7 linked regions of the Sus scrofa genome follow. The protein of the gene in region 5 interacts with the protein of the main gene of each other region in a pairwise test. Links are inferred from orthologs where the notes say so. Each region holds a gene or a part of one and is shown on either strand. Other genes may lie near its edges.

Region 1 (4,163 bases), on a different chromosome or scaffold from region 5:
ACACTGTACTCTCATTCACCACTCCATGAAGGGTCATGAGATAGTCATACTTGCGGTCTTCCAGGCCCACGAAGTGGTTCTGCAAATAGGACTCCAGTTTTCTCTGCTGCTCTCCGATATCTGAGAAGTCGATGAAAAACCTAGAACACATATACCTCTGAAGCGTCTTGATCTCATCAGAGGCGGGCCTAAAGCCCCGGACTAAGAGGTTGCAGTACTTAAGCAGGCCTCCCCCTCTGATTTCCTCTGGGTTCCTGGTGGCAATGATCTTATTACAAAGGTGATCGAAGGCTTCGTGGAAATCCCCGTAGACGCTCTCCCCGATGATCGTGGGGTGAAAGGTTTCAGTCATCGGGTTCTCTGAACATTCATAAAAGAGGAGAAGAGAGTCTAATTTGATTTGAAAGGAATCTACACTAAATTCAAACTGCCTCCGGAGGGAATCCACAAATTTCAGTTCCACATTTTTGCCACTGTTGTTTGACAGAGATATAAGACTCCATCGGTCAGAGTCATTGCACACTTTAACCATTTTCTGCACATAAGCTTCCTACAATTTAAAAGACAAAACGAGAAGATGAGCAAACCTAGGGGGGAAAAATCATAAATGAATAAATACATCCTCGTCACAGCTGAGACTCATTTTGCTCCTCCCCTCTTTATTTTGTCAAGTTTCAGCAAAACACTACCTGCAGGCTGGCACATTAAACAGTCTTCTGAAAACAGAAAAAAAAAAACAAAAAAAAAAACCAAAAAACCTGCATTTAACGAGTGGTTTTGCCGTCTGGGAAAGAGACTAGAAATAATAGTTTGAGGCTTTTGGCAGACGTAGCACAGTACTAAGAGGCTCTGTTGTCATGTCTGACTTTTGAAATGTTATTTTTTGAAAGGGATCTTATAGGTACAATATTCACACAATATCACAATATTCAATGTACAGAAGAATATACAGTGAAAAGTTGGTCTGCCTCTCACCCTTGTCCCTAGTCACCTAGTTCATCTGCCCCTGAGGCAACAGATAGGATCAGTATTTTGTATGTCCCTCCAGGAGTTCTGCAGTTAAAATCAAATGTGAACTAAATTAAGACATTCGGGGAGGCTGGTACCTCAGATTATTTTAGGTAATCGTATAAAACCGCGCTATGAACCAAAGTGGGGAGGCGAGGACCCATTTATACCCCGAACAGAGGAACCAACCCAGGGAAGCGCCACATACATCCTCAGTACAAGCAGTCAGCTGAAGGCAGCTAGGAAATCTATTCACATTTTCCAAAACAATTATAAATCCATTGACTCGACTCTGCTGCAGGCTGCTCTTTTCCCAAAGACTAAATCATCAAATGACTCAAAAGAAGGAAAAAAAAAAAAAAAAAGGAGAGAGAGATTTACATCATTTCACTCTCCCGCGGATCTGAATCTACTCTAGACAGGACTCAAGCAAGGAAAGCCAAGAGTTAAAATATAAGGAGAAGGAAGAGAAGGCAGAGCTGAGGAGGAAGCAGAAGAGTTGGGGCACTGAAGCAGCAAGTAAACTAGAACACACAACGCAGCTCACGCATCTTCGTTTACCCATTAAAAAAAACTCAAATGCAAAATAAGCCAAAGCTCCTGCACGAGACGGGGCAGCAAACGTGCGCCCCCCACGCCTAGCGCCTCACGCCCGCGCCTGGTCCGCCGCGGGCCCCCGGCCTCTCTCGGGTAGCTTTACCTTGAGCGTGAGTGGTGTGATCTTCTCCTTGTTCACCCCTTCGGGTAAGAAGTCCAACAGGCAGTCCAGCACGACGTCCTTCACAGTCTGAAACTCCTCTTCCCCACGCAGGTCGGCGCAGAAGATTAGGTCCAGGTCCTTGTAGCCCAAGCCGCTGTCCTGGTGCAGGACGTGGCTGGCGGCCGAGCCGTTGAGGCGCACGTCGCGGACGCCAATGCGCTTCTCGGTCAGACGCCGCCGCACCACCTTCACGATCAGGCTGGGCTGCAACTCGAGCGTGGGGAAGTTGCCGCGCCCGTGGATCGGGATGGTCTCGCTCAGGATGCCGTCCAGCCGCTGCACTTGCTCCCAGTTCAGCACGTTGCAGTGCGCCGTGGGGCTTTCGCAATAGTCCAAGCAGTGCCCGCCGCCGAAGCCGCCGCCACCGCCGCCGAAGTCGCCGCCGCTGAAGTCGCCGCCAAGGGGGATGTAGGGACCGCCAGCCAGCTCGTCCTCGGCCATGGCGAAGTACCCTTCGCCTTCCGCCATGAAATGCCCGCCGAATGCCACTTGGCCCTGGTCAGTCCTAAAAGAAAACGGGGGTGGGGGGAGCGCGGTGAGGACGCGCGGCGGCGGGGCTGAGCCGGGCCCCCGGAGGAAGGAGCGGCCCCCTCCTCGTTTCGCCTCCCGCCTCGGGAGCTCCCGGAGACGCGCCCGCCCCAGGCCCCCCAGCCCCCAGCCGCGCGCGCCGCGCCCCGCAGAACAGCCCCGCACCAAAAGTATCTCTGATGCATCTGGAAAGCGCAAGCGGGAGTCCCGTCTGTGTCACCTGGAGGCGGCCGCCCCTTCTAGGAGCGCGGCGATGGAGGAACTGCGAGGCGGCAACACTTCCAGGAGCCGCGAAGACGCTCCCGGCAGTGGCGAGCGACTTAGTCCTTTCCAGACCCCTGCCGCCTGCGCCGGCCACTCCCGCCCCTCGACCCCGCCCGCGCCTCAGCCGCGGTGGTCCCAGAGGTGGCGGCTCCTGCTGTCGCTGCCGCCGCCGCACACGCTCCTGTCTCTGGAGCTTTAGCAGTTGTGCGGGCGAAAGGTCTCCAGTACTTTTTTTATACCGTGGCCGCTTGGCGCTTCCGGGGCCCGGCGCCGCATGCTCGCCACACCCTCCTCATCTGCATAGGGAGCCGCCCCCGCCCGCCCAGCGCCCGCGGCGGGAGCCCAGCAGAGCCGCGCTCCTTGAGGACCGGTCCCCAGGGCGCGAAGCTGGAGGCGGTGCGTGAGTTCACTTTAGTTCCTGTAGGTAGATTTGATGTAGGGACGCCCACCCACCCACGCCTCTCTTCCTTTTCCCCAAGGAGGAGACACTTCAGATACTTCAAGAGTCCTCACTGGCCCTCAAAACCGGATCAAGGCGAAAATCGCGTAACTGCTGAAACTTCTCAAAATTCTCGCCGGATGCGGCTCGTCATCAAAGCTTAGTGACGGGGGCTCCAGAGGGTCTTCTTGACCTCCCTTTTAAACAGTGTGTGGGGTAGCACTAGAGCGGTTATGGCATTAATAAACTCGGCCTCAGTGTGAACTAAGGGGTCCACTTCCCCGTGCCAATCAGTGTCTGCGCGCAACGGGCAGGGCAGGCTCCCCGAGTTTCGTTTCTTCAAACCTCAGGCGGCGCGCCGGGCTGGGGTGAGCCAGAGGAGCGCGGGGGCGGAGCCGAGCGTGCGTCCAAGCCCAGCGCACCCGAGGCTCGCGGCGGCCGGGAGCGCGGCTCGGGCCAACGCGCGTCCCCGAGCGGACGGCCGGGCGGGCACGCTGGCCTGGAAACGCGGGGCGCAAGGGGTGGGCGGCCGCTAGGTCGCGGGGCCGGAAGCTCGGCTGAGCGTTCTTCCATCCAGAAGCTGAGGAGGTGAAGCGCGTTCCTCGCCGGCAACTAAGGTTTGCGTTGTTCAAGTGAATGCACATGTCAGGGTGAAGTGAGCGAGTTTTCCACGACCCGCGAAAGCACGAGTTTAAAGTCTGCGACCGTCCCTCCTCCACACCCACAACTCCCGGCGCCTCCGCGGCTTGAAAGGAGTGTGGCCTTACCTCCGCGGGCACTAGCGCTCGAGGCCCGCGTTTGCTAGAAAGCGCCCCCTTTCTTCCTGCCGTCAATTCTGGCCGCTCGCTACCCTTTTCCAAACTGAGAGCCACTTTCCTTCGTCTTGAGGCCACGGCGGGGACAGAGGCGGGCTGGATACTCCCGCCCATGGCCCCGCTCGACCCCAGCCGCCCGGCCTGCAAGGAAGCATAGCCCTCCCTCTCCGGGCTGGGGAGCCCGGGCCTCGTCACTAGGGCCCCGCTCCCAGCAGGAGGCGGGGAGGCGCGGGTCGGGGAGGGGGAGAACAGTCACCCGCGGAGCAGCCAGCTGCGGGGCAACGCCGCCCCCTGCTGGTGCCCTGCGGAGCTGCGCGCCTAAGCGTAGGCACCCGCTGGACCTCAGAGG
Region 2 (4,054 bases), on a different chromosome or scaffold from region 5:
TAACAATCTCAGTTAATCCTTAGAGCAAATCTGATCTCCACTTAGAAAGAAAGAAATGGGCAGAGAGAGTAAACACAGTTAAGAGGCTGGGTTCTCAAAATCAGTCCAGTCTGGGCTTTATACTTATGAACAAGTGGCTCTGTTATTTAGCTACCCAGATATCAGCTGCTTACCTCATAGGGTTTTGATGAAGATTAAGTGAACTATGCCTGTGAAGTGTGAAGCTCAGCCAGACACTAAGTGCTCAAAGATGTTGGTTCTGTGGGTTTTGTTTGCTGTTTTATCATTGTGAAAGGGTCAGGCTACGTACCCAGGATTTCAAATCCAAGCCCATACTCTCCTAAGCTTTACTGTATGGCTGGCTCCAAACGCCGCCAGCCCATAGGCTAGACTCTGTCTCTCCTGCAAGGATTCTACCCTTTCCTGGCTCCCCGAAAGCCTGACCTGGGTAGCTTCAAATTCAGGGACAGGGGCTCAGCGTGTTCCCCTATCTACCTCTGCTGTGGGCCTCCCAGCTGAGTAGGTGTAAGAATTCTTCACGAGATCAATCATCATATAAACTTAACTCTAGGCTGCGGTGTGTCACAAGGCAAACTATGGGCCCGAAGCACTACCTTTCTAAGCGTGTTTGGTTCTGTGCTTGCCCCACAGTGAAAGCTCGATTCTCTCTTTGGCCCATTTCTCCGACGGTAAAGCTGAGGTTCAGAGAGGCCACTGGCTGAGGACCACTCCTGGAGACCACGTTCTAGCGTACAGGTTGGAGCCAGACATATGAGTTCTGGTTTAGCTCCCGACTCGCTGCGTGAGCTTGGGTGGGCCTCCTTCGTCTCATTTCCTCTAACCTTACCATGGGGACAGAAATCAGAATTACGTATTTCTAAAGCACTGAATCCTGACCCGAAGAATCGCCGCGACCAACGGCTGGGCCGCGAGCTCGGCCCGCCAGCCTACAAACCCCAGCCAGGCTCGGGGGGCGGGGCGTAGTGACGGACAGGCGGCTTTGCGAATTGGCTCCCGCTAAGGCGTGCGCGTCCGCGCGTGCGCAGAGGCCGGCGGGCGGGTGGGCTGGCAGCGGTGGACGCGTCGGAGCCGCGGCCGGTCAGGTAGGGGGCGGGATGGAGGGTGGGGGACGCGGGATCGTGGCCCGAGTCGCTGGCAGCGGCTGAGCGGCTGGGCGGGAGCTGTGCGGGCGGCCGGTTCGAGGCATAACGGCAGGGTCTGGGGACCGGATCAGAGAGGCAGGACCGGGGTGGGGGTGGGGCCGTGAGGGGCAGGCTCAGTAGGGCTTCGAGGGGGCTGAGGAGCTCGGAAGAGGTGCCGCCGGGGCGGAGAGCTAGCGGCTCTGAGAAGATTCACGGTGCAGCATCTTGGGAGGTATGAGGTAATGTGGGGCCCTGAGAGACGGGTGCAGCGGCATCTGGAAGATGGGAGGGGATCTCAAGGCCCTGGAGGGATCCGAGGTGCAGAATCTCGGAAATATGGAGGGATTGGGGAGCCCTGATGAGACTTGAGGTGCAGAATCTCAGATTTGAGAGAATCCAGGGGCATTAGGCTTTGGGGGGAAAGATCTGAGATCAGAGGAAGCAGGGTCCAGGACTAACCTAATTGCTTGGGAGGAAGCGTTTTCCCGAGTGGAATTTGGTCTGAATTCTTGCGGGAGATCAGTGGGAAGCTGTGTCTCATCTCCTTAGAAAAAGAAGAGGCCTGGCTAAGCTTTGAAGTGACACATGACGGGGGTGGGTAAAGGAAGAAGGAGCATGGATTAAAGGCAGGGGCAGGGTCCTGATGGAATGCAGGGGAGGGGGGCTGAGATTGAGGGAGTGCACAGATCCAATGTGTGGGATGGGGGTGTTAAGGTGTGATGCAGGGCTGAAGGCCACAGAGACTTGGAAACAGGTCACAGAGATTTGGGCACATGAGTGAGGAACTGGGGGGGTGCCATATAGAGCCCAGAAGGCTGGGATTCTGTGTTGAGTTGGTGATGGGGTTAGGAAAAGCTGAAAGGCAGGGTGGAGATGTACCAATCGGACGTCAGAATGAAGAGACTGACTAGAGTTGTGGATTGGTGTCGGGCTGCTAAAGGCATTTTCTTGAAGTCTCTGCATGGGAAGCACAGGGTCTGGGGACCCAAGGACCTAGAAGTAATGTATGACACTGTATATGAGTATATGAAGTTTAGTAGAGTTCAGGCATTTGGCAGTAAAGTCCTAAGTCTGAGATCAGGGCTCCTGAAGGAGCCTGGCTTTCCCTGTGAGGGGCGGACTCTCCCTCACTTACTAACCGCAGATCCCTTATTGTGAGGCTGCCATGGCTCTTCCACTAACTTCACTCTGAACCCTGAACCTGCGGAAAGTGGGAGGCCTGGGAGAAGAGAGTGGTCAATGGGATCATAAAACAGGAGACTATTCAAGGTCTTGTCCAAGCTCCCCTTTGCCTGTCCCTCCAAGCTGTGGTGACAGGTAGTCTGTGAGACCTCCAGGAGATGGCTGGAACATGTTCTCAGGTCTTATTGTCCTTATCAGTGATATAAGTAATCCTACATAAGGTCCATTACAGGGGCTCTGTGAATGAGGTGTTTGGACCAGGAGAGTAACCAAAAAAGGGGAACTCAGATGTATTGAACATTTAGTCCTGTGCCAAGTTCTGAAGAAATGGTTCCTAACTGGCAGTATTTTTGTCCCCCAGAGGGCATTAGTCAGTGTATGGAGGCATTTTTGGTTGGCACACTTGGGGTGTTGGGTACTCCAGTAGGTGGACACCAGGGATGCTGTTGAACATATTAAGGTGTGCTAGACAGCCCCCATAACAAAGAAGTATCCTGCCCAAAATGTCAGTAGTGCCAAAGTTGAGCAGCTGTGCCCTAGAGTCAGATATCCTGGCCTCAGATCTTGGTGCACACATGCTCACTCTCTCTCTCTCTCGCGCTCTCTCTCTCTGTGTCTTGATTTAGTTATTTAACTTCCCTGTGCTTGGCTCTTCATCTGTAATATGAGATTAATAACAGGACCTATAGCATAGATTATTGTGAAGTAAATCAGAGTGCTTAGTGCCTGGTGCATAGTAAGTGCTCAAAATTCAGTAATTTAAAAATTTTGCATCTCCTTTCTTAATCAGTTTTCGTAGCCACCCTACTAAGTAGGCTCCACTATATCCAGTTTTACACTTAAGGAAAGTAAGGCTTAGAAAGTGACTTGTCTAATGCTCCATAGCTAGACATGGCAAAGCTACACTCATATTCAGATCTCTATAACCCTGTATATTGCCTCTTTCCTGCTTTTTCCTTGCTGGGGCCTGCTTAGTCTTAACTATCTCTATCTCAGCCCATTCCCCTCTAATGAAAGGATTCTCCAGTGAGCATCACTGAATATCAAATTGAACTCTAAGGGGAATAAATCTGATTAGGTAGGGAGTAGCCCTGAGCTGTATTCTCGATTTGCTCTTAGACCAGGATCAGTGGGTAGATAGGAGAAGGGTTTGAAGTTAGCAGGCAGGCTGAGGTGCACTAGAGCATGAGGTATGAAGGCCATTGGCTTGAAAGAAACACTTCATAGCAGGGACTGAGGTTGAAGGCATCCATACTCTGGAAAATAACTCCTGTTCTGAATGATCTCTAATGAAACATGGGACAGACTAACAGCATTTGCTCTGTCAACTCCAGGACTAGCTACAGCATTGCTGAGACCAGTTTAGAAACATAGTAGGACTGCATGAGAAGGCCAGAGATTTAGCTGGAATATCCACACACATACCTAAGGAAATGAGCAATAGAAATTCAATCAGTTTGGGAATCACAGACTTGAAGTCCAAAATCCTTCTTCTGCTGCTGAGTTATTAGGTGATCTTGGACAAGTACTTGCCCTTACCAGCCTCGATCTTATTGAAAACTTGAATAGCTACCATTTATTGAGTACTTATTATGTGCATTATCTCAGTTAATCTTGCCAGTGACCCTGACAACAGTCTAGGTGCTATTACACATTTTACACATGAGAAAACAAATAGGTTAAATGATTTACCCAAGGCTCCATAGCACACGGCAAAGCAGGGATGTGAG
Region 3 (4,272 bases), on a different chromosome or scaffold from region 5:
GCAAGTAAAGTACCAATCAGAATTTTTATTCAAAAAGTGCTGGAAAACTTGAATTCTCATGAACTTATAAAAGCAGCTCAAATAGGTTCCCCTTCACTTAATAAGCTTTTCTGCATTTGGATTTCACCTGTCAACATTTTAGGTAATGAATTTAAGTTGTTAACACTATTCAAGCACTCTCAGGTTTGCTTGGGAAGCAACAAATCCAAATGAACAAATAAAGTGCTTTCTATCAATTCACATTGTTAAACCAAAACAAGCTGCGTTAGGATAGCAATTAATCATGATCCCTTTTACACTCGAAGACACTTTTTCCTCTAGAAGTTTTTTTTTTTTAATGCTAAAAATGAATGTTACTCCAATAGCATTTGATACTTTATTGAGTAGATAAGAGTAGTGGCATGAGTACAAAAACAGAGCCTGGCTTTAAAATACCAACCAATCAGCATCCTGGGAAGCCAGAGACAATACCCACACTAGAGTCTTTGATTGGGTACATACTGAAAAAATATATAGACCCAACTAGAATATAATTCTTCCTGTCAACAGTCCCAAGCACATTTTATGTACTCCAGCCTAATACACTTCAGGGAACCAGGAAAGAATTCACTGCTTCTGTCAACCTCTTCAGTAGCCCACAAGACAGTGAAGCAGTAACTTCAATAAATACACAACCATGTGGTGATACCCATCCACCTCTCCAGAAAAAGTAGATATCTAGAGTTTAAAACCATAAATTTTTAGCTAGGGTAAATATGACTGAAGTCATACTTTTGTGACTCCACATCCACTTTACTGGAAGTTAGGGGAGGGGAAAAAAAAAAAAAAAAAAGAATTAAAAAATCCAGAGTTTCCGTTGTGGCACAGTGGAAACAAATCCCACTAGTATCCATGAGGATGTGGGTTTGATCCCTGGCCTTGCTCAGTGAGTCAGGGATCCAGCATTGCTGAGAGCTGTGGTGTGGGTTGCAGATTCTGTTCAGATCTCTAAGTGCAGCGGCTGTGGCGTAGGCCACCAGCTGTAGCTCCAATTCAACTCCCTAGCCTGAGAAGTTTCATATGCTGCATGTTCAGCACTAAAAAGCAAAAAAAAAAAATTAAAAGATTTAAAAAATCTGATTTTCCTAGCCAGGCAAATCAAAGAGCATTCCTGTGAGGAGTTCACCTCTCAAGGAAACATCAATGCAGCAGACAAGGTTTCTGTGTGGCATCCCAGAACTGTAATTCTTACTCTACAACATGTAAGACAATAACATACCAGCTACACACGTGTTACAGAACTTGTGTGCCAACATATATTGAACCACAAATCCACATGGGATCTAAGACCATATTCTCTTTACCTGAAAACTACTTAGAAGCAAATTCTAGTGTAAACTTCCAGAAAAAGTTCTAAGCAATTCTTTACTAAATCTGGTTAATATTTAGTCCACATAGTGAGTAAGAATGAGACTATCATTTCAAATACTACTAATGAAATGCCTATACAATGTTACTAACCTCCTCACCTATAAAGAAACACTATTTCATTAGTAACAAAGCCTACTTTTGTATAGCGATGGGGGGATTTGGAGGCTGGTTGCTTCTTCAGATCTAGGAAAGCATCTCCATTTTCTGATTCACCCACACTTCTATCCATGGCTCCTTGGTCTACAGTTCTTTACACCTGGAAGAAATCAGGACAAAACTGTCACTAAGAATATATTTTCAGAAATCCTTACTGTTTAAGAAACTGAAGCTCTTATCGCTTAAAATGACTACTTTAAAAAAAAAAAAAGCCCTCACCCAAAAATTACAGTATAAACCGCAACCTACTTAGAAATAGAACCACTGGAACTTGGATGTCTCTTCTAATAAAGAGCTCTAAGCAAAGGCGGAACGTGCCCAAATCAGGGTACAACCTTTAAGCAGCTTTAATATAAAAAGAAACCAAGACTAGTCGCTGCAACCCATGAAGGCCGTTCAGGCAGTAGTGGGGAAGTTTGCAGGAGTGGGGGCAGGTAGGAGACGGGTTGGGGCTGGGGATCCGGGAAGTAGGGCTGTGGTAAAGTGCCTGTCACTTGCCAATGGACGGCGCCAGCTGCCCCTTGTTATCAGAGACCAGGGATTGGGGACGGGGCCCGAGCGCTCCTCGCCCGGCCGGCCGCACCTGTGGACATGTCAGGGGTGCCCATGACAAGGAAGAAGCGAGCTCCTTCTCCAGCTCCGAAACTCGGCTTCCAGGACCGAAACCCCAACCCCCGGCCTCTCGCGTAGGCCCCGGCCCAGCGGCCTCTTTCGGAGGAAGGGTGGAGACCATACTCACCGAGGGGAGGCAGGCTGGTGGGAAGGGGAAGCCAAATCCCCCAGCGCCGGCTCTCCGAGCTGGAGCCGGCGCAGGCCCGCACCGTCCACCCCGGCCCGCGCGGCCCGGCGGCTCGGGCCCCGCCAGGCCGCCCGCTGCCTGCCGGCCGCCCAACTGGCCTCGCGCCCCTGCTCGCCCCCCGCGCGCGCCCCGGCGCTTGCGCTCACGCACGCGACCCCGGAGCGCAGCGCGCCCCCTCTCTTACTGCGGACCCAGGCGCGCAGCGCCCCATACACCGCCCGGCCCTTACTCGGTGCCTCGGCCGCCGCTCCCCTCCCCGCCGCCCGCGCCGGTCCGAGGGCTGCTCCGCGCGGCCTTCGCTCTCGCCCCGCCCCCCCCACCAGCTCGGGCTGTCTCCCTTCAGCCGCCGTAACCGCGGCCCAGCCCTCCGCCCCTCCTCCCCGGACCCCTCCCCCTTAATAACTCCCTCCACGCACCCGGGCCCCAGCACCGCCTTCGCCGCCGCGCGCCCGGATGTGAGGTGTCCGCGGCGGTGCCGGGCGGAAAAGAAAAACATTGCGGCGCGCTCCCCGGGCGCTGGCCCCTGCGTGCGCCGGGCGGCGGGGAGGCGGAGGCTGGGAGGCTGCTGGTGTGGGGGCAGCCGAAGCCCTCCCCGATGCGCGCAGGCGATCGACCTGGGCAGCCCCGGGGAGAACGCCGCGTTCCCACGCGCGCTTCGGGGCGGAGCTCAACAGGGCAGGAGGTGCTCGCGAAGTGGGCCGGGGTCCGCAACGTGGGAACGTGTTGGTTGCTTTGTTAGCGAGGTTCACGTTGGCAGAGAACCTCTGGGGCAGCAGGAATCTGAGTTAGGCGAACACGGGGACTTTGGGGCCTTCCGGGGCGTGGGCTCGAACATCGGATTTTTTTTTTTAACTGGTGGTGTAATCTTGGGCAAAGCTCTGACTTCTGAGTTTTACTTTTCTTACTAAAATGGCCTTTCTATACAATTATAAGAGGAATAATCGAAATTATGCGTTGCTGCGTTAATAATCAAACGCCACGATTGCTGTTGATTGAGCTATGGGCGACTGACAAATTCAGTGAAATATTTTTCCCGCGCATAACCTGAATCTCTCCTCAGCCTGCACGGGAAGGGGAAGTGCACATGTGTTTGGGTGAAAAAGAGACAGCGAACGTCAAGCGCTTAGTACGTAGTGCCTAGTGCCCAGACTGGCTGACCTGGGCACAGAACGCAAATGTAATTTATTCTGTGAGCAGTGAAAGTAACTGCCTTGGCGGGGAGGAGCGGTCAGGAAAGGTTTGATGGAGATCACACGTGAGCCTAGTTTGCAGGATTTTCATGAGCCCCTTTCTGCCCAGTGGGACCGTGAAATGATGCATGACTGTGGAGGAAAACAACTTTTCTTGCTGAAGGAGAGCGAAATCCACATTTCTTTGAAGGGGCCTGCTTTCTTTTAGCTTCACTTTACTTGGGCAGTGAATGGTCACTAAGTTCCCGTTTTACGCGTCTTGACAACAGAGAAAAACAATTATGAATCCTTTTTCTTTTTGTCTGTAATACTGAATAAAATGTGCTTCTTAGAAACTATTTTCCTTCTGCCAGCCACTATGGAGAAATCCCACTTATTGACACTTATCCTGGTTCTGCCACTGAGTGTGAGACCTGAGCCAGTCATTTCACCTTTCTGAACCGGTTTACTCATCTATCGAAGAAAGATAGCAGTATCTACTCTTCAGGCTTGTAGTGGGAATTAGAGATAAGATTAAAAACACTGTGTTCTGGTATCTTTTGCTGTGTAAACCATCCCAAAATTCAGTGGCTCAACTCAACACTTATTTTGCATCAAATCTGCATTTTGGGAGTTCCCGTCATGGCGCAGTGGTTAACGAATCTGACTAGGAACCATGAGGTTGCAGCTTCAATCCCTGGACTTGCTCAGTGGGTTAAGGATCTGGCGTTGCTGTGA
Region 4 (3,500 bases), on a different chromosome or scaffold from region 5:
CTGCAGTTGCCGGCCTACACCACAGCCACAGCGATGAGGGATCTGAGCCAAGTCTTCGACCTACACCACTGCTCATAGCAATGCCAGATCCTTAACCCACTGAGGGGGCCAGGGATTGAACCCACATCCTCATGGACACTAGTCGGGTTCGTTACCGCTGAGCCACAACACAAATTCCTGTTTCATTAAATGTTAATCCCAACACCCAAGCTTACTTTGATGAATGACCTAATATTAGAACATTGATAGCCAAACGTTTTGATAAAGTTACTCAAATATAAGGGGAGTTAAATATCACGATATGAATAAAAACATATCAAAAGGCTCAAATGGAATAGTATTCAAGTACTTACCAAGTGCCACTTTCAAATTTGTAATTTACTCTCTCTGGATCTGAAAACCTGTGATCTAAAATGAGAACACACAAGCCATCATTTTAGCTATTAGGGAGACAAAGCTGTGGGGGGAAATTCAGAAGTAGAGCTGAGGGAAAGTGGATAGGATCAGATTCTGGGTCCACATTGTTACAACACCAATACTTACTATAAGGCTCTGAAATCATTGCTAAAATTATATTTCCCATATCTTCTACTTGAGAGGCTCCATACCGGGAGGCTGAACTATTCTTCTCAAAATTTAAACCTGGGAGATTAAGTTAAGGAAACATTTTGGTAAAATGAGGCTGCTTCGAACCCCAAATTAAACAGAGCCAAGAAGCCAAGTAAGTAAAATGCATCCAGATTGACAATTCTTTTAAATCTCAGAAAGAGTTGCTTCTGATCAGTCTGGACTTTACCAACAGTCCCTCAGTGTCCAGGTGACCTTTGGGTTAAGATGACCAAAGCCATCCTGTCCTGATGAGTAATACCAGGATAACATGTGTATTGGGTAGTAGCAAATGCATGACAAATAAGCATTTTAGTTTCAAACCATGAAGTGTACAACAAAGTTAACAGAATCCTTAATCCGATCTTTATAACACACACAAGTTAATGACCTTCCTGACTTAAAGATATAATCACATCCATCAAGACTACAAAGTAGTGGAGTTCCTGTTGTGGCTCAGCCCAACACAGTATCCATGAGGATGTAGGTTCCGTCCCTGGCCTTGCTCAGTTGGATAAGGATCTGGCATTGCTGTAAGCCAGATGCAGCTTGGATCTGGCGCTGCTGTGGCTGTGGCAAAGGCGGCAGATGCAGCTCTGATTCAAACCCTAGCCTGGGAACTTCCATATGCTGCAGGATTGCTCCTCAACAAAAAAAAAAAAAAAAAAAAAAGAAAGAAAGAAAGAAGAAAAAGAAAAAAAGACTATTTAGTATGAAGTCACTTTATTTAGCCTAATGTTCGAGACACCTCGGATGACTGCTAACACTACATCTATGATGCCATTTTCATTCAGAACTTCCCTTCTAGAAGATTCTTGCAGTCCCATAATACAGCCATCATGGATGGTAGCAAATATTTGTCCTTTGAGAGTAAATTTGTAGAAATAATTCAAGCACTCAGAGCCAACAATGGCCAACGTGGCCTTTGATTTAGGGACTACCCTGTTTGGGCAAGCCAGGGCAAGTGGCTTTTAAGAGATGTGTGGCTAAAGTTAGGTTTGAGGGCGCAACCAAAAGAGATTTCCCTTAAGTTTTATGAATTTCCAATCTGAAATAAGCACGTATCTTTGTCAAAAATCATTATCTTAGAATATATGTATATTTATATATTTATACGCATGACTGACTCACTCTACTATACACCTGAAATACAACATTGTAAATCAACTATATTCCAATAAACTCAAATTTTAAAAAGTTACTTTAGGAACTAACAATCATTGAAATGTTTACTTTCTTTAGTTTTAAGTTTCAATGCTATAGTTATAGTCACTTTGTGTTAGGTACAAATTTGCATACGTTTTGGAAATGTAGTACAATGCATGTAACAAATAATACTACAGGACTCTAACTTTCCTCAAGTTTAAAATTAAACCAGCCATCTGGATGGTGGTCATTAAAATGTTTGCCCTATTTTATAAAAATGTTTTCTGACTGGTATTTTGTAATAAGGGTAAAAAATTAAGACAAATATTATATTCTTTTCCATTCTCCATTCCAAATCCGTTTCCATTTCATCCCTCCAGCTTCCTCTTTTCTTTCTCCCACAAGGAGGCACACTGCATTTCTTTCCCACCGTGCTAGGCCACTTCATTTTTGTGTTAACTCTTAACCTGTTGCATTTCTATGCAGTTTAATATGCTGCGTGTAGGACGTCCGCTGTGTGTTCCTTGGCAAATTACTTAACCCCATTAAACTTCAGCTTATCTGTAAAGCCAAGACTGTGATACTCTTTACCTTCCTGGGCTCTTGTGAAGATTGAGATAAAACAAGCCCAGGGCACAAAGCAGGCATTTAATAAGTGACGTTCTTCCTTCCCCCTCTTCCTAGAAACCTCAGGTGACCAACTTTCATAACCCAGGATAATCACACTTTAAGAGGGTCACATTTATGACCAAAAAAATCTGAACTCACCAGATGCCTATCTGTATACTCAGAGGATAATCATCAAGCTGAGATGGAGGATGATTTCTGCAGTCCCGCCCTTTGACATCAACCACCTTGTGGTGAAATAAATGTGCTGCCCACTGAGGGATTAGAAAATCAAGCCCAGGGAGTTCCCATCGTGGCGCAGTGGTTAACGAATCCGACTAGGAACCATGAGGTTGCAGGTTCGGTCCCTGCCCTTGCTCAGTGGGTTAACGATCCGGCGTTGCCGTGAGCTGTGGTGTAGGTTGCAGACGCAGCTCGGATCCCGCGTTGCTGTGGCTCTGGCGTAGGCCGGTGGCTACAGCTCCGATTCGACCCCTAGCCTGGGAACCTCCATATGCCGCGGGAGCGGCCCAAGAAATAGCAACAACAACAACAACAACAACAAAGAAAATCAAGCCCAGAAGATGTTCAAACAACAGAACAATGACCACCGATTGGGGTCATGCAAATGGTTATCCTTGGAAAAGTGCGTTATAAAGTATTTATTAATTCAGTGCCCATTTTCAAATATGATGACGGGATGGAAAAACTGAAGCCAAAGGATGAGGAAGACACTTTAGGGAGACAACTGCCCAATGTTTTCTGAGGGAGATGGAAGAGATTTTAAGGGCCCTTACAGAACTAAGAATAAGCTGTGACTAGTCATAGTTTATCACATAAACTCTGCCAACAAACGCTCATCTGGAACCCCACAATTCTAATAACACTTTGCAGCCTTGCAAGAGCCTAATGAAGGAATGAGAAATGGATCCAAGAAAGGGAACCAACGTCATTGTATAAGCCAGGGTTTCTCAACCTCGGCATAAGTAACACGTAGGGTGGATAATTCTGTTTGGGGAGTGGGAGGATGTTCCCGTGTACTTTGGGATTTTAGTAGCATGCTGACCTCTACCTACCCAAGTTTTAAAATTTAACAATTAAAAAAGTCACATCAGGAGTTCCCGTCGTGGCGCAGTGGTTAA
Region 5 (3,500 bases):
CAGACCGTCGTCCTGAAACTGGTGGAAGTCAGCGCCCCTCGGGTGCATCTGTGCCTCTAGAAAAGGCAGGTGCCGTGGGGCCACCTTCATTTCCACCAGGATGCGCGCCCGGGGCCTGGGCTGCACCTGCCCTGGCCCCCAGCTGCCCACCCGCCAAGAGACACGCGTGGGAAAAGCATATGCACCGTCTCCTGCCCAACACCAGCTGTAACTCTAATGACAAGGTTATAACAGAAACCTAAAGGAAGAGGATAACATGTAAATACTGTGTTATTAAGCCTACAGTACAGTAATCTGGATACAAATGATAAAGGAGGGCCGATTTCCTTTCCCCACGCGGCCTCTACTTGCCTACATTAGAGCGGCCTTCGATGCAAATCTTAACCTCCTGAGAAATGAGAGAAGGCTTAGGAAGAGTCAAAGGTGGCTCGTCTTCCGACTTCTCCAGTTTGCGGGACTCCGGCGCCGACCACCTCCTCTTCCTCGTGGCCGCGGGCTTGCTGGGTTCGATTTTGGTGAGCAAGGGGGCGGCAGGCAATCCTATCTTTTCTGGAAACTTCAGTTCGCCGTTCTCGGAGAGCATCTGGGCGCCTCCCTGATTGATCCCGTTCTCCTGCTCGGCATACCTGTGTCTACTGCCCGCGAGGCCGTCGGTCTTTGAGTGTTTCAGCAGGACGCTGGCAGGATCCACGGGCTGGCCCTTTTTAACAGAGCCGTTCTTCAGGTTTTTGAGGGTGAGTGAGATACAGACATCCCCAACGGAGAGTTTGGAACACGGCAAATCAAAGAGCTGGCTGGTTCTCTCTGGGCAACAGGATGACCAGCCCTGTCCAAACACAAAAAAAGGATACTCTACCAAAACTTCCACGCTGACCTGTGGAAACAGGGAGAGACAGGGAGCGGGGTGGGGAAAGGGGGGAAAAACATGAAGACATTTCATTCCTGTTTGATTTGATATACACCTGTTCACAAACATACACACGCATAGAAGGCGAGTGGAAAAAAAATAAGACAGTTGCACAAACCTCTTCCACCAACACGTGCCAACGGGGCACTTCATTTTCTGCCAGATCTGGACTTACCCAATACAGATGTTGGGGAGAAGCCAGTAACAGTTGTTCAGTATTCAAAATACTGTTTTACTGTGTATTAGCGCTATAGCTGGTCTCTGTCAAAACAAAGTTGACACCACCCCCCCAGGAAGACGGAAGAGCTACTTAGGGTTCAGTGCTGGGCTTAGCCCTGCACATGAGGTCCCTTTGAAGGTCTGGTCTCATGCTCTACGAGCCCACGGCAGAGATGCTATTCTCACGGATGACAGGGCTAAATAAGGATCAGAGTTAGACTGTGTTAAGCTCCGTGAGCTACATACTTAGGTGTTTAGCACTTGTGGCCCCGGCCCCTAAGAGTACCTAGCACATGGTACATGGTTGAAACATAATATTTATTGGGTAAATAAATATGTACTTTAGGAATTTAGGGGGAGAAGAATCCGTGACGGCCGGAGAAAGCAAGGAGGGCTCCTAGGACCCAAAGGATGGGCAGGATTTGGGGGGAAGACACGGCTGGGTAGATGGTGAAATGAATACAGACAGCTCCAGCGCTCAGCCCAGCTACACACTCAAGCCCCAGGTACTCAAATCCATCTCTTTTCTGTTTGAAAAACAACTATCGGAAGCCAGGGAAGCCGGGTATCCTTTTAATAGCTGCTATTTTCTCTGTGCTACCATGTGCCGCGCGCTGTGATAAGGAACGCGCTGCAAACAGCGGTCCTGGTCTCAAAGGAGTTCCTAATCAAATGGGCAAAAAAGGCACAGGAACAATCACCTCCGGAGGATGTGGCAAGTGTGGTCACGGGGCGGGGTGGTCACGCATGGCGCTGGATTAAGTTGTTGGAGGGCAGAGGAAAGGCATGGAAGAGGCGGGTAAGGAAGGCATCCTTGATGAGGGCACACTGTGCTGAGTTTTAAAAAATAGTGGGACTGGAAGAGAGGAATGGGTACAAGGAAAAGGTGTCCCTGGAAGCAGGGCTGTGTGAACAAAGGCAGGGAGGTGTGGGTGCGCGGGGATTTGCGAACGGTGTGATGGAAGTCTTACCACTGTCATTCCATCAGGGTGAAATGCATTTCAAGTTTGAACAGTTTCATTTTCATGGAAATTTATTATGTTCCACTTTATGCTATGTATTAAAAAAGAGAGCAAACCATAAAGTAATTTTAAACAGTCACGTTTTCAATGGTTTTTTTTTTTTAGGTGCAGCAGGCTAGGTAATTTGTACCAACCTTCCTGCTGAGGACAACTAAACACTCTGAACAAAAAACCAAGCAAACTCTGGACCAAATGTAAAAGAACTATTTTTTTTTTTTTTTCCTGATGGCAGTAGCCAGAAAATAAGACAGTAAAAAAAATCACTGGCTTTTGATCAGGAAATGATGGCCAGAGATTTGAATGGTGGTGGTGCTATTTCCCCCCAAGGGTATTAGTAGATTCCAAAGTGGGGAAGTTAAGAAACTGAGTGGGCTTTAAGTAATCTCAAGAGCATGGGGGTTACGTTTCAGGGGGCAGGGAATGGAGTTCAGCAAGACATGAGGGTGTTCTCCAGTGAACTGGGCACTTCGGGGCTGGGACCCCCCAAAAGCACTGAAATCTACAAGTAAGGTGAAACAGAAGCAGACAGGCCCTCTCAATGTCTGAAGCTCAGATTTTAATCCTCTTTGTCCCTAAAATTGGATTAAAGTCTTGAATTGTTTCCACAGTTCAAGAAATTTTCCAAATAAAAGATGTTCCATTTTTAATTGGGAGAAGGTTCCCGAGCAGCTGAGCTGAATAAAAAACCAGTAGAAAGAACAGGTAATATAAACAGACCCCCAGTGGCTTCTGATACGGAGTCATCAGATACAGACTTTAAAATGACTATGTTTATAATATTTCAGATTAAAGACAAATGAGGATTTTGATAGAGAACTAGAATCTATTTTTAAAAGATCCATGGAAATTCCAGATGAAAAAAAAATACTAAAATCAAGAATGCAATGGCTTTTCCCACAGAATAAGCACAGTTAAAGAGAGCATTAGTGGGAGTTCCTATTGTAGCACAGCAGAAACGAACACGATTAGGAACCAAGAGGTTGCAGGTTTGATCTCTGGCCTTGCTCAGTGGGTTAAAGATCCGGTGTTGCCATGAGCTGTGATATAAGTCGCAGATGCGGCTCGGATCCTGCGTCGCTGTGGCATAGGCCAGCAGCTACACCTCTGATTGGACCCCTAGCATGGGAACCTCCACATGCTGCGGGTGTGGCTCTAAAAAAATGAGAGAGAGATTGAATTTTTTTTTTCTTTTTGTCTTTTGTATATCTATCTATCTATAGAGAGAGTCTTTTTAGGGCTGCACATGTGGCATATGCAGGTTCCCAGGCTTGGAGTCCATTCGGAGTTGCAGCTGCCGGCCTACACCACAGCCACAGCCACGTGGGATCCAAGCGGCATCTGTGACCTACACC
Region 6 (2,793 bases), on a different chromosome or scaffold from region 5:
CGCCCGAAGCCCAGGGAAGCTCTCAGGGCCGGGCAGCAGGGAGGCCCCATCCTTGTGGCAGACAGTCTGCAGGCAGAGCAGCCAACGGCCATAGTCCTCGTAGCTGGCACACACCACACGGATGGTATTGATGAGACGGCCTGGCACACGGAGGCCGTGAGGGGGCCTGGTAGGCAGGGTGCCCCCCTCAAAGCCCCGGTGCAGAGGTGGCCACCCAGCAGGCTCACACCCTTCCTCCCAGGCCTGGCCTCCGCCCACCTTCGATCAGGAACGAGCGGATCTGTTTCTCCCTCTCCTCCAGGTTGATGTGGATGGCGCTGAGTGGAAGCTCCCCCTGCGGGGCGTCAAGGGAGGATGGGGCCTTAGGAGAAGCCAGCCAGGCCTCTGCCTGGGCCCCGCAGAGCTGCATGGGCAGCCAGGTAGTGCGCGAGGCAGGGCCAAGGCAGACACTCCCCATCTGTCCTGGGCATCCCTTCTCCCCCGTCTCTGGGGAAGACTTTGTCAGCCAACGGCCAACACAGACGGATGCTTATGGGGACTGGTCTCCTGGGTCACCTGCTAAGATGGGGGTGAGTGGGAAGGGATCACGAGGAAGCCCCCCATGTGTGTGTTTCTCAGTGACTGAAGGCCGTGATCAAACCCAGAGTGGAAGGTATCGTGCTGCATGTGGCAGACGATTCAGGCTCTAAGAGTGCCCACGCATGCCCTCAGGCACCCGGAAGATGTCTACTCAGGGCCACAGGAGCCCTCATGCCACCCGCCCCAGGGGATGGGCCTGCTGGTGGCCGAGGACCCTCTAGGATGCTATGGGGGGCCAAGGCGGGGGCCCCTCCTTGCCCACTTCAGGTTGAGACCAGACTGACCAGGGCAGTGAGCTGGGTGGGTGGGGCCTGTACTGTCTGTCCCAACAGGCCCCGAAATACAGGTTCCTCCTGCGCTGCTGCCCCCTCCCACCCCCCACGCACAGGGCTCCTCCCTGGGGCGGATCCACTGCGCTGAGGGACCCACCTTAAAGCAAAGCCCATCTGCTTCCTCAGAGAAAATGGCCAGGGAAGTCGGGTACAGGACCAGGAGCCGGTCCCACTGCTCCTGTGAGGGGGGTCAAAGGGCAGAACAGGGTCTCCCAGGCATACGTCCAGGGCCTGGACCTGCCCCCACCTCCTCCCTCCTCTGTGCCCTCCCCCCCACGCACCTGTGAGGGCAGATGCTGCAGCTTGACCCTCGAGGCACAGATGGCACTGCCCACCACTTGGCACCCAGATGCCGTCCGCAGCTGGGTCAGCCTGCGCTGCAGCACCCAGGGGAGCTCGTCCTCGGGGGGGCCCTGGTAGAAGGGGGTCAGGGGCAGGTGGAGGAGGCTGGGGATGGGAAAGGGTTGCAGGATTTCCAGCACTGACCTGCGGGGGCACTTGGTGGCGGCGTGGCAGCCCCCCCACGAGGGCTATCTGCTTCTCCAGGTGGTAGAGCCAGCGGCCCAGCTCGGTCTGGCTGGGGCAGAACACGAGAAGAGGGGTGGGCAGCGGGCCTGTTGGGGAGGGGCAGACAGGGATGGGCCTGCAGCCCACAGGAAAGGACTCTCAAGGGTTGGGAGGAGCCACTGACCACCACACGCACAGCTCTGGAGGTCCCAACCCGCTGCCCTCCACCCCAGCCTGGCAAGTGCACGTGTGCCCATCGGAGGAAAAGCCAGGGCCCCTCAATGTGCTCAGAGCTCCGCCAAGGTCCTGGGGCCTGCTCAGCAGCAGTCTTAGGGCCCTCGTCCTTCTGGCAGCTGGGTAGGCACGGGCAGCACACCGGGCCCCCCGCACACCTGTGATCTGGAAGGCATGTTCTCGGGACCCCTCCAGTGGGCAGACACTCAGCTCCATCAGTGGTAACAGCCCCTGCCGAGCACAGCGGGAGGGAAGTCCTAGGACTGGGCCACCCGCCCCAGCAGCTGCTGGCTCCCCTCGCCCAGCTCCTCCCACTGCCCATTTCCCCTCACCTGGAAAGTGAGCCCTTCAGAACCATGGGCCTGGAAATAGAGGTGGGAGGGGAACAGCTCCAGGTAGCAGTCACTGATGTCCTGCGGGAAAGCAGGGCCAGGGTCTGAGGGCTGGGGGTGGGGGGGCAGCGTGGTCCCCAAGAACGCCCCTCCCAGCTCGGCCTGGCCCCCACCTGGCTGTGCTGGAAGCGCAGCTGGACCTTGGCGTAGTGGATGACTTTGCCCAGGTTCCGCACGGGTGCCCTCCGCCGGCCCGCCTTGAACACACTCAGAAAAGGCTGCTCCAGGTCTTGGGGCTGACTCTCCAGACCGGGGAGGTTCTAGGGTGGGGGCAGAGCTCAGGGGAGGGGGCCTGACCTGGGGCCAGCAGCCCCGGCCCACAGTCACACCACATATAGATTAAGGACGCACACGCAGTGTACGCACTGCACGCACTCGTAGCCCCTTCACGCGAAAACATGCAGAAGGCACATGTACACGTGTGCGCGCGCACACACGGCCTCCCTGCTGGTCACAGAATTCCGTGGTCTAGTGGTGGAGTCAGTGAGGTTTCGATACAATGCAGATCCAACCCTTAGCATCACTATTTCCTAAGCTGTGTTCCCTTATTTTCGTTGTTCAGCCTCCTAAGGCTTGTTGGTCAAAGGGGTTTTCAGGTGCCTTGGGGAGACAATGCTTGAAGCCCTCCCACACCTCCAGCGCTGGCAAAGCTTTAAAAATCGTTGCTACCAAAAAGTGGGGGGCTGATTTATAGTACTTGCCAATTTCCATGGTGTAAGTACTCCCATCACAGCCCATTTCAAACTACC
Region 7 (4,181 bases), on a different chromosome or scaffold from region 5:
CTGTGGCAGACGCCCTGAAGATGAATAAGAATGTGGTTCTTGCCCGGGCTTGTGGGGCCCTGCCCCCTGAGCGACTGAGCCGGGGTTCCGGGGGTACCTCTCAGCCACATCATGTGGACGTGTGGCCCCTCAACCTGCTGCGGCCCCGGGGTGGACCTGGCTACGTGGACGTCTGCGGCCTCTTCCTGCTGCAGATGGCCACCATCTTGGGCATGGTGCCTGCTTGGCACACTGCCCGCCTCCGGATCTTCTTGTGCCTGGGGCCTCGGGAGGCCCCAGGGGCAGCCGAGGGGCGGCTCCGGGCACTGCTGAGCCAGCTGAGGATCCGGGCAGAGGTGCAGGAGGTTGTGTGGGGTGAGGGGGCTGGGTCCGAGGAGCCTGAGGAGGAGGAGGAGGGGGACTTTGTGAATGGCAGGCGCGGAGACGCAGAGGCAGAGGCCCTGGCACGCAGCGCCAACGCCCTGGTTCGGGCCCAGCAGGGGCGCGGCAGAGGAGGAGGGCCTGGTGGGCCTGAGGGTGGGGATGGCGAGGAAGGGCCCACCACCGCCCTCACGTTCTTGTACCTGCCTCGGCCGCCTGCTGATCCCTCTCGCTACCCTCGCTACCTGGCGCTGCTGGAAATTCTGAGCCATGACCTGGGCCCCACGCTGCTCATTCATGGCATCACCCCTGTCACTTGCACTGATCTCTGATGCCGGTTCCTAGTAGAGAGTGTCCAGGTCGAGTGGCCCACTTTGCTTGGCGGGTTGAGGAGGGGAGGTGCTGCCTCTTGCCCTCCTTGTACTTGGGACTCGGACCCTGGTGGAGGTATTAGGGGAACCTGGTCTTTGGGAGAGGGTCCTCGCTGTGCCCAGGGCAGCTGAGCCGGCGGCCACCACTGGCGAGAAGTCAGCAGCCCTCCCCCACGCTGGCCTCCCTCCCTTCACTGGTGCCTTGACGGGGCTGGGTCTCCGCTTGTGACTCTAGGCTACCTCAGTCTCCCCGCCCCTTGCCCAGTAGACTCCTCACCCTTGAGGTTGTGATGTTTTTGTTCCGTTTTATTTTTCTAACTGCTGAATGTGAATAAAAGACCAAAACACTAGGTGCTGGCCGAGCGTTTCTGGAGGGAGCCGGTAGGGGGGACAGAATGCGGGACGAATCTGTATGCGGGGAGGGGCACTGGAGCATCCCAGCGCAAGGGGGCCACGTGCGGACTTGGGGCACAAGAGCCCCGTGTTAAAGGAGGCTGCCTGAGCCTCCCACCCCCACCCCCCGGGCCCACGCTCTGGAGGAAAGCCGCCCCGGCTCGCAGGAGGGGGCCGACTAGGGGAGGGACGGCAGTTTAGGGCCTAGGGGGCCACGTGACCCTCCCCCAGGAATGCGATGACGTCATCGGGGGCGTGGCCGTCCCCAAAATTGGGGAGGAAGGGGAAAAAAAAAAGCCAGAAAAAGTTTCTGTCCTGGAGTCCCAAGCGAGGTGTCGGGGGGAAGAAGGGGTCAAAGTCAGAGCCCTGGGCTCCGTGGGGCCCTGACCGCTGTCTGGAGTCCCCCATTCCAGACCATGTCCGGGCCCACCTGGCTCCCCCCGAAGCAGCCGGAGCCCGCCAGAGCCCCTCAGGGGAGAGCGCTCCCCCGAGGCGCCTCCGGGCCGCCGCCAGCCCACGGAGCAGGTAAGGCAGCCCCAGTGCGGTGCGGAGGCCACCGGGCCACCAACACTCAACTCTGCCCTGCTGCTCTTGCCTCCCGCTGAGCCTGCCCCTGTCGCCCCTTCCCCAAGCCCGGCTGGAACCCGCCGCGCCCCCGCCCTCGCCCTCTCCCAGCCCTCACTGCCTCCTGCCCCATTCTCGGACCCCAGATGCGGGGGGAGAGGGGTGAAGAGGGACCCAAGACCGGTGGCCTCCACAAGTGTCACCCTCCTCTCCTTCCCCATCCCCACCTTGGCTCTCTCTTCCCTCACCCCAGCACTCCAGTCCCACCCCAGGGTCAATTTTTGCCCCCTCCCATCTGAGCAGTGTTACCAGGCCCCTGGGGGACCGGAGGATCCGGGCCTGGCCTGGGTGGGGTGCCATGGAGCACCCCAACGCTCACAGGTGAGCACCGCGATTAGGGGGTGTGGGGGGGACTTAGGGCAGGAGAAGAGGCCATATGAGTTGCATTCTCCCTGCTTTTGCTCTATCTCCAGGGGCTCCCCCCGGACAGGGGGGCCTTGCGCCCAGGAAGTCTGGATGCTGAGATAGATTCCCTGACCAGCATGTTGGCTGAGTTGGACGGGGGTCGGGGTCACGCCCCACGGCGGCCTGACCGGCAGGTGACTCCCCGCTCCTGTCCCTCCCTGTCCTTGTCCCCCACCCCTCCCCCGCAACCTGGTTCCTGCTCTGTATTCTCACTCCTCTTCTCCCTCCACATGGGGGATGCACCCACCAGCGAGGAGGAAGCTGGGCCACCAAAACGTACTAGGTTGCCAGCCACTCAAGGACGGGCCCTTGTCAAAACCAGTGCTTACCTGGGTGCCACAGACACAGGGTTCAGGGGTTCCACAGATGTGTGTTCTGGATTGGGCCCAGCTCATGCCTTCTGGTCTGTGCTTCTCTCCAGGCTTATGAGCCCCATCAGCTCCCTGCCTACCGCTCAGGCCCTGGCTCCCTGAAGCCGAATGGAGGGAGTGTTCCTCCCACACCACTCCCAGCGGCCTCCTATGGCGGCCCCACGCCGGCCTCCTATGCTACGGCCAGCACCCCCGCCGGCCCTGCCTTCCCTGTGCAAGTGAAGGTGGCACAACCAGTGAGAGGCTGTGGCCCCCCCAGGCGGGGGGCCCCTCAGGCCTCGGGGCCCCTCCCCGGCCCCCACTTTCCTCTCCCAGGCCGAGGTGAAGTCTGGGGGGCTGGCTACAGGAGCCACCGTGAGCCAGGGCCAGGGGGTAAAGAGGAGGCTGCCGGAGTCTCCGGCCCTCCGGGAGGAAGAGGAGGCGGGTACGGGCCCCAGGTAAGCCCTGGGCCCTGGGATTTGGGGTCCTCAAAGACAGTTGGATGCTGACTGGGTGGGGTGGGGGTGGGGGTTGATGTTCCAGTTTTCAAGCTCTGGATTCCCTGGGGGCGGGGGGCAGGTCAGGAAATAAAGGAGGGAGGGGACTAGATCTGCACACTGGCTCCCAGAGGCACACCCCTGGCCCCTGGGCTGGGGTGTTCTCCTGTGAGCTTTTGGGTGGAATTGCCTGATCACTCTCGGTGACAGTATTGGGAGGGAGAGGTAGGATTGAACCCCTGATTCTCACCTCCCAGGTCCCCCTGAGCCAGCCTCCCGAGGAGGAACTTGAGAGGCTGACCAAGAAGCTGGTGCAGGACATGAACCACCCGCCCAGTGGGGAGTACTTCGGTGAGCTGCCCCCCGCCACACACCCCGGGCAGGGGGTGGGGGGAGGTCAGGTAGACAGTGGGTCTGGCTTCCCAGTCTATGGTTGACCCTGACCCATCCCGTCCCCAGGCCGGTGTGGTGGCTGCGGAGAAGATGTGGTTGGGGATGGGGCCGGGGTTGTGGCCCTGGACCGTGTCTTTCACGTTGGCTGCTTTGTCTGTTCTACGTGCCGGGCCCATCTCCGGGGCCAGCATTTCTATGCCGTGGAGAGGAGAGCGTATTGTGAGAGCTGCTATGTGGTGAGTGGTGGGGGCTGGCGGGGGGTGGTGGCAGATGGAGTCAGCAGCAGGAAGCAGGGGGCTTCCATCCAGAGTGGGAACTAGGTGTCCAAGCCCCAAAGAATAAGGCTCGAAGCAGGAGAACTAAAACTAATAAAGAAAAAGGCATGGATGAAATAAGTAGCTGTATACTGGTTGCTGGAGAGAAAGGACAACATTCCCCTGTAAGAGTGAGGCATTTATTTTCGGTTTAGGGGAATGTGCTGAATCCCCACAATGCCCTGGTGAGGCAGCTGTTACTCCTGAAGGAAACTGAAGGTCTGAGAGCTTAAATATCTTGTCTGGGGAAGCTGCAGTGCTAGGATTTGCACGCATACCTGTTCAAGGCCACCTTTAACTGAATCACATGCAGGGGGCTACATAAATAGGTGGGGGAGCTGGCAGGATGCCTGTAAGGGCTGCCATGGGTCACCCCAGCCCTGACCTTCCTGCTCTCCTTCCTGACAGGCCACCCTGGAGAAGTGCTCCACCTGTTCCCAGCCCATCCTGGACCGGATTCTGCGGGCCATGGGG

Evidence for each region.
Region 1: the proteins of ATXN1 (region 5) and FAM46A interact in binary tests that used the Homo sapiens proteins (3 or more experiments, as listed by UniProt). The link is inferred for Sus scrofa from reciprocal best matches to the Homo sapiens genes ATXN1 and TENT5A.
Region 2: the proteins of ATXN1 (region 5) and TRIM32 interact in binary tests that used the Homo sapiens proteins (3 or more experiments, as listed by UniProt). The link is inferred for Sus scrofa from reciprocal best matches to the Homo sapiens genes ATXN1 and TRIM32.
Region 3: the proteins of ATXN1 (region 5) and EIF4ENIF1 interact in binary tests that used the Homo sapiens proteins (3 or more experiments, as listed by UniProt). The link is inferred for Sus scrofa from reciprocal best matches to the Homo sapiens genes ATXN1 and EIF4ENIF1.
Region 4: the proteins of ATXN1 (region 5) and ESRP1 interact in binary tests that used the Homo sapiens proteins (3 or more experiments, as listed by UniProt). The link is inferred for Sus scrofa from reciprocal best matches to the Homo sapiens genes ATXN1 and ESRP1.
Region 6: the proteins of ATXN1 (region 5) and PLEKHN1 interact in binary tests that used the Homo sapiens proteins (3 or more experiments, as listed by UniProt). The link is inferred for Sus scrofa from reciprocal best matches to the Homo sapiens genes ATXN1 and PLEKHN1.
Region 7: the proteins of ATXN1 (region 5) and TRIP6 interact in binary tests that used the Homo sapiens proteins (3 or more experiments, as listed by UniProt). The link is inferred for Sus scrofa from reciprocal best matches to the Homo sapiens genes ATXN1 and TRIP6.

What each region holds. Positions count from the first base shown.
Region 1 is NC_010443.5:84,543,806-84,547,968, reverse strand, and holds the start of FAM46A (protein FAM46A), read right to left. Parts: upstream 2,801-4,163; 5' UTR 2,482-2,800; coding exon 2,462-2,481; intron 2,274-2,461; coding exon 1,709-2,273; intron 551-1,708; coding exon 1-550.
Region 2 is NC_010443.5:257,053,223-257,057,276, forward strand, and holds the start of TRIM32 (E3 ubiquitin-protein ligase TRIM32), read left to right. Parts: upstream 1-1,254; 5' UTR 1,255-1,376; coding exon 1,377-1,381; intron 1,382-4,054. UniProt on the Homo sapiens protein: E3 ubiquitin ligase that plays a role in various biological processes including neural stem cell differentiation, innate immunity, inflammatory resonse and autophagy.
Region 3 is NC_010456.5:48,201,902-48,206,173, forward strand, and holds the start of EIF4ENIF1 (eukaryotic translation initiation factor 4E transporter), read right to left. Parts: upstream 2,801-4,272; 5' UTR 2,782-2,800; intron 2,699-2,781; exon of another isoform or gene 2,595-2,698; intron 2,479-2,594; exon of another isoform or gene 2,306-2,478; intron 1,672-2,305; exon of another isoform or gene 1,667-1,671; 5' UTR 1,640-1,666; coding exon 1,547-1,639; intron 1-1,546. UniProt on the Homo sapiens protein: EIF4E-binding protein that regulates translation and stability of mRNAs in processing bodies (P-bodies). Plays a key role in P-bodies to coordinate the storage of translationally inactive mRNAs in the cytoplasm and prevent their degradation.
Region 4 is NC_010446.5:42,040,184-42,043,683, forward strand, and holds part of ESRP1 (epithelial splicing regulatory protein 1), read right to left. Parts: intron 643-3,500; coding exon 544-642; intron 409-543; coding exon 354-408; intron 1-353. UniProt on the Homo sapiens protein: mRNA splicing factor that regulates the formation of epithelial cell-specific isoforms. Specifically regulates the expression of FGFR2-IIIb, an epithelial cell-specific isoform of FGFR2.
Region 5 is NC_010449.5:12,304,351-12,307,850, forward strand, and holds part of ATXN1 (ataxin-1), read right to left. Parts: intron 875-3,500; coding exon 344-874; 3' UTR 1-343. UniProt on the Homo sapiens protein: Chromatin-binding factor that repress Notch signaling in the absence of Notch intracellular domain by acting as a CBF1 corepressor. Binds to the HEY promoter and might assist, along with NCOR2, RBPJ-mediated repression. Binds RNA in vitro.
Region 6 is NC_010448.4:63,331,054-63,333,846, reverse strand, and holds part of PLEKHN1 (pleckstrin homology domain-containing family N member 1), read right to left. Parts: intron 2,305-2,793; coding exon 2,158-2,304; intron 2,066-2,157; coding exon 1,985-2,065; intron 1,884-1,984; coding exon 1,811-1,883; intron 1,526-1,810; coding exon 1,398-1,525; intron 1,325-1,397; coding exon 1,193-1,324; intron 1,090-1,192; coding exon 1,009-1,089; intron 335-1,008; coding exon 259-334; intron 141-258; coding exon 1-140. UniProt on the Homo sapiens protein: Controls the stability of the leptin mRNA harboring an AU-rich element (ARE) in its 3' UTR, in cooperation with the RNA stabilizer ELAVL1.
Region 7 is NC_010445.4:8,711,840-8,716,020, forward strand, and holds the start of TRIP6 (thyroid receptor-interacting protein 6), read left to right. Parts: upstream 1-1,381; 5' UTR 1,382-1,540; coding exon 1,541-1,649; intron 1,650-1,941; coding exon 1,942-2,069; intron 2,070-2,161; coding exon 2,162-2,287; intron 2,288-2,574; coding exon 2,575-2,961; intron 2,962-3,257; coding exon 3,258-3,351; intron 3,352-3,459; coding exon 3,460-3,629; intron 3,630-4,115; coding exon 4,116-4,181. Other genes in the region: SLC12A9 (solute carrier family 12 member 9), read left to right, coding at 1-692. UniProt on the Homo sapiens protein: Relays signals from the cell surface to the nucleus to weaken adherens junction and promote actin cytoskeleton reorganization and cell invasiveness. Involved in lysophosphatidic acid-induced cell adhesion and migration.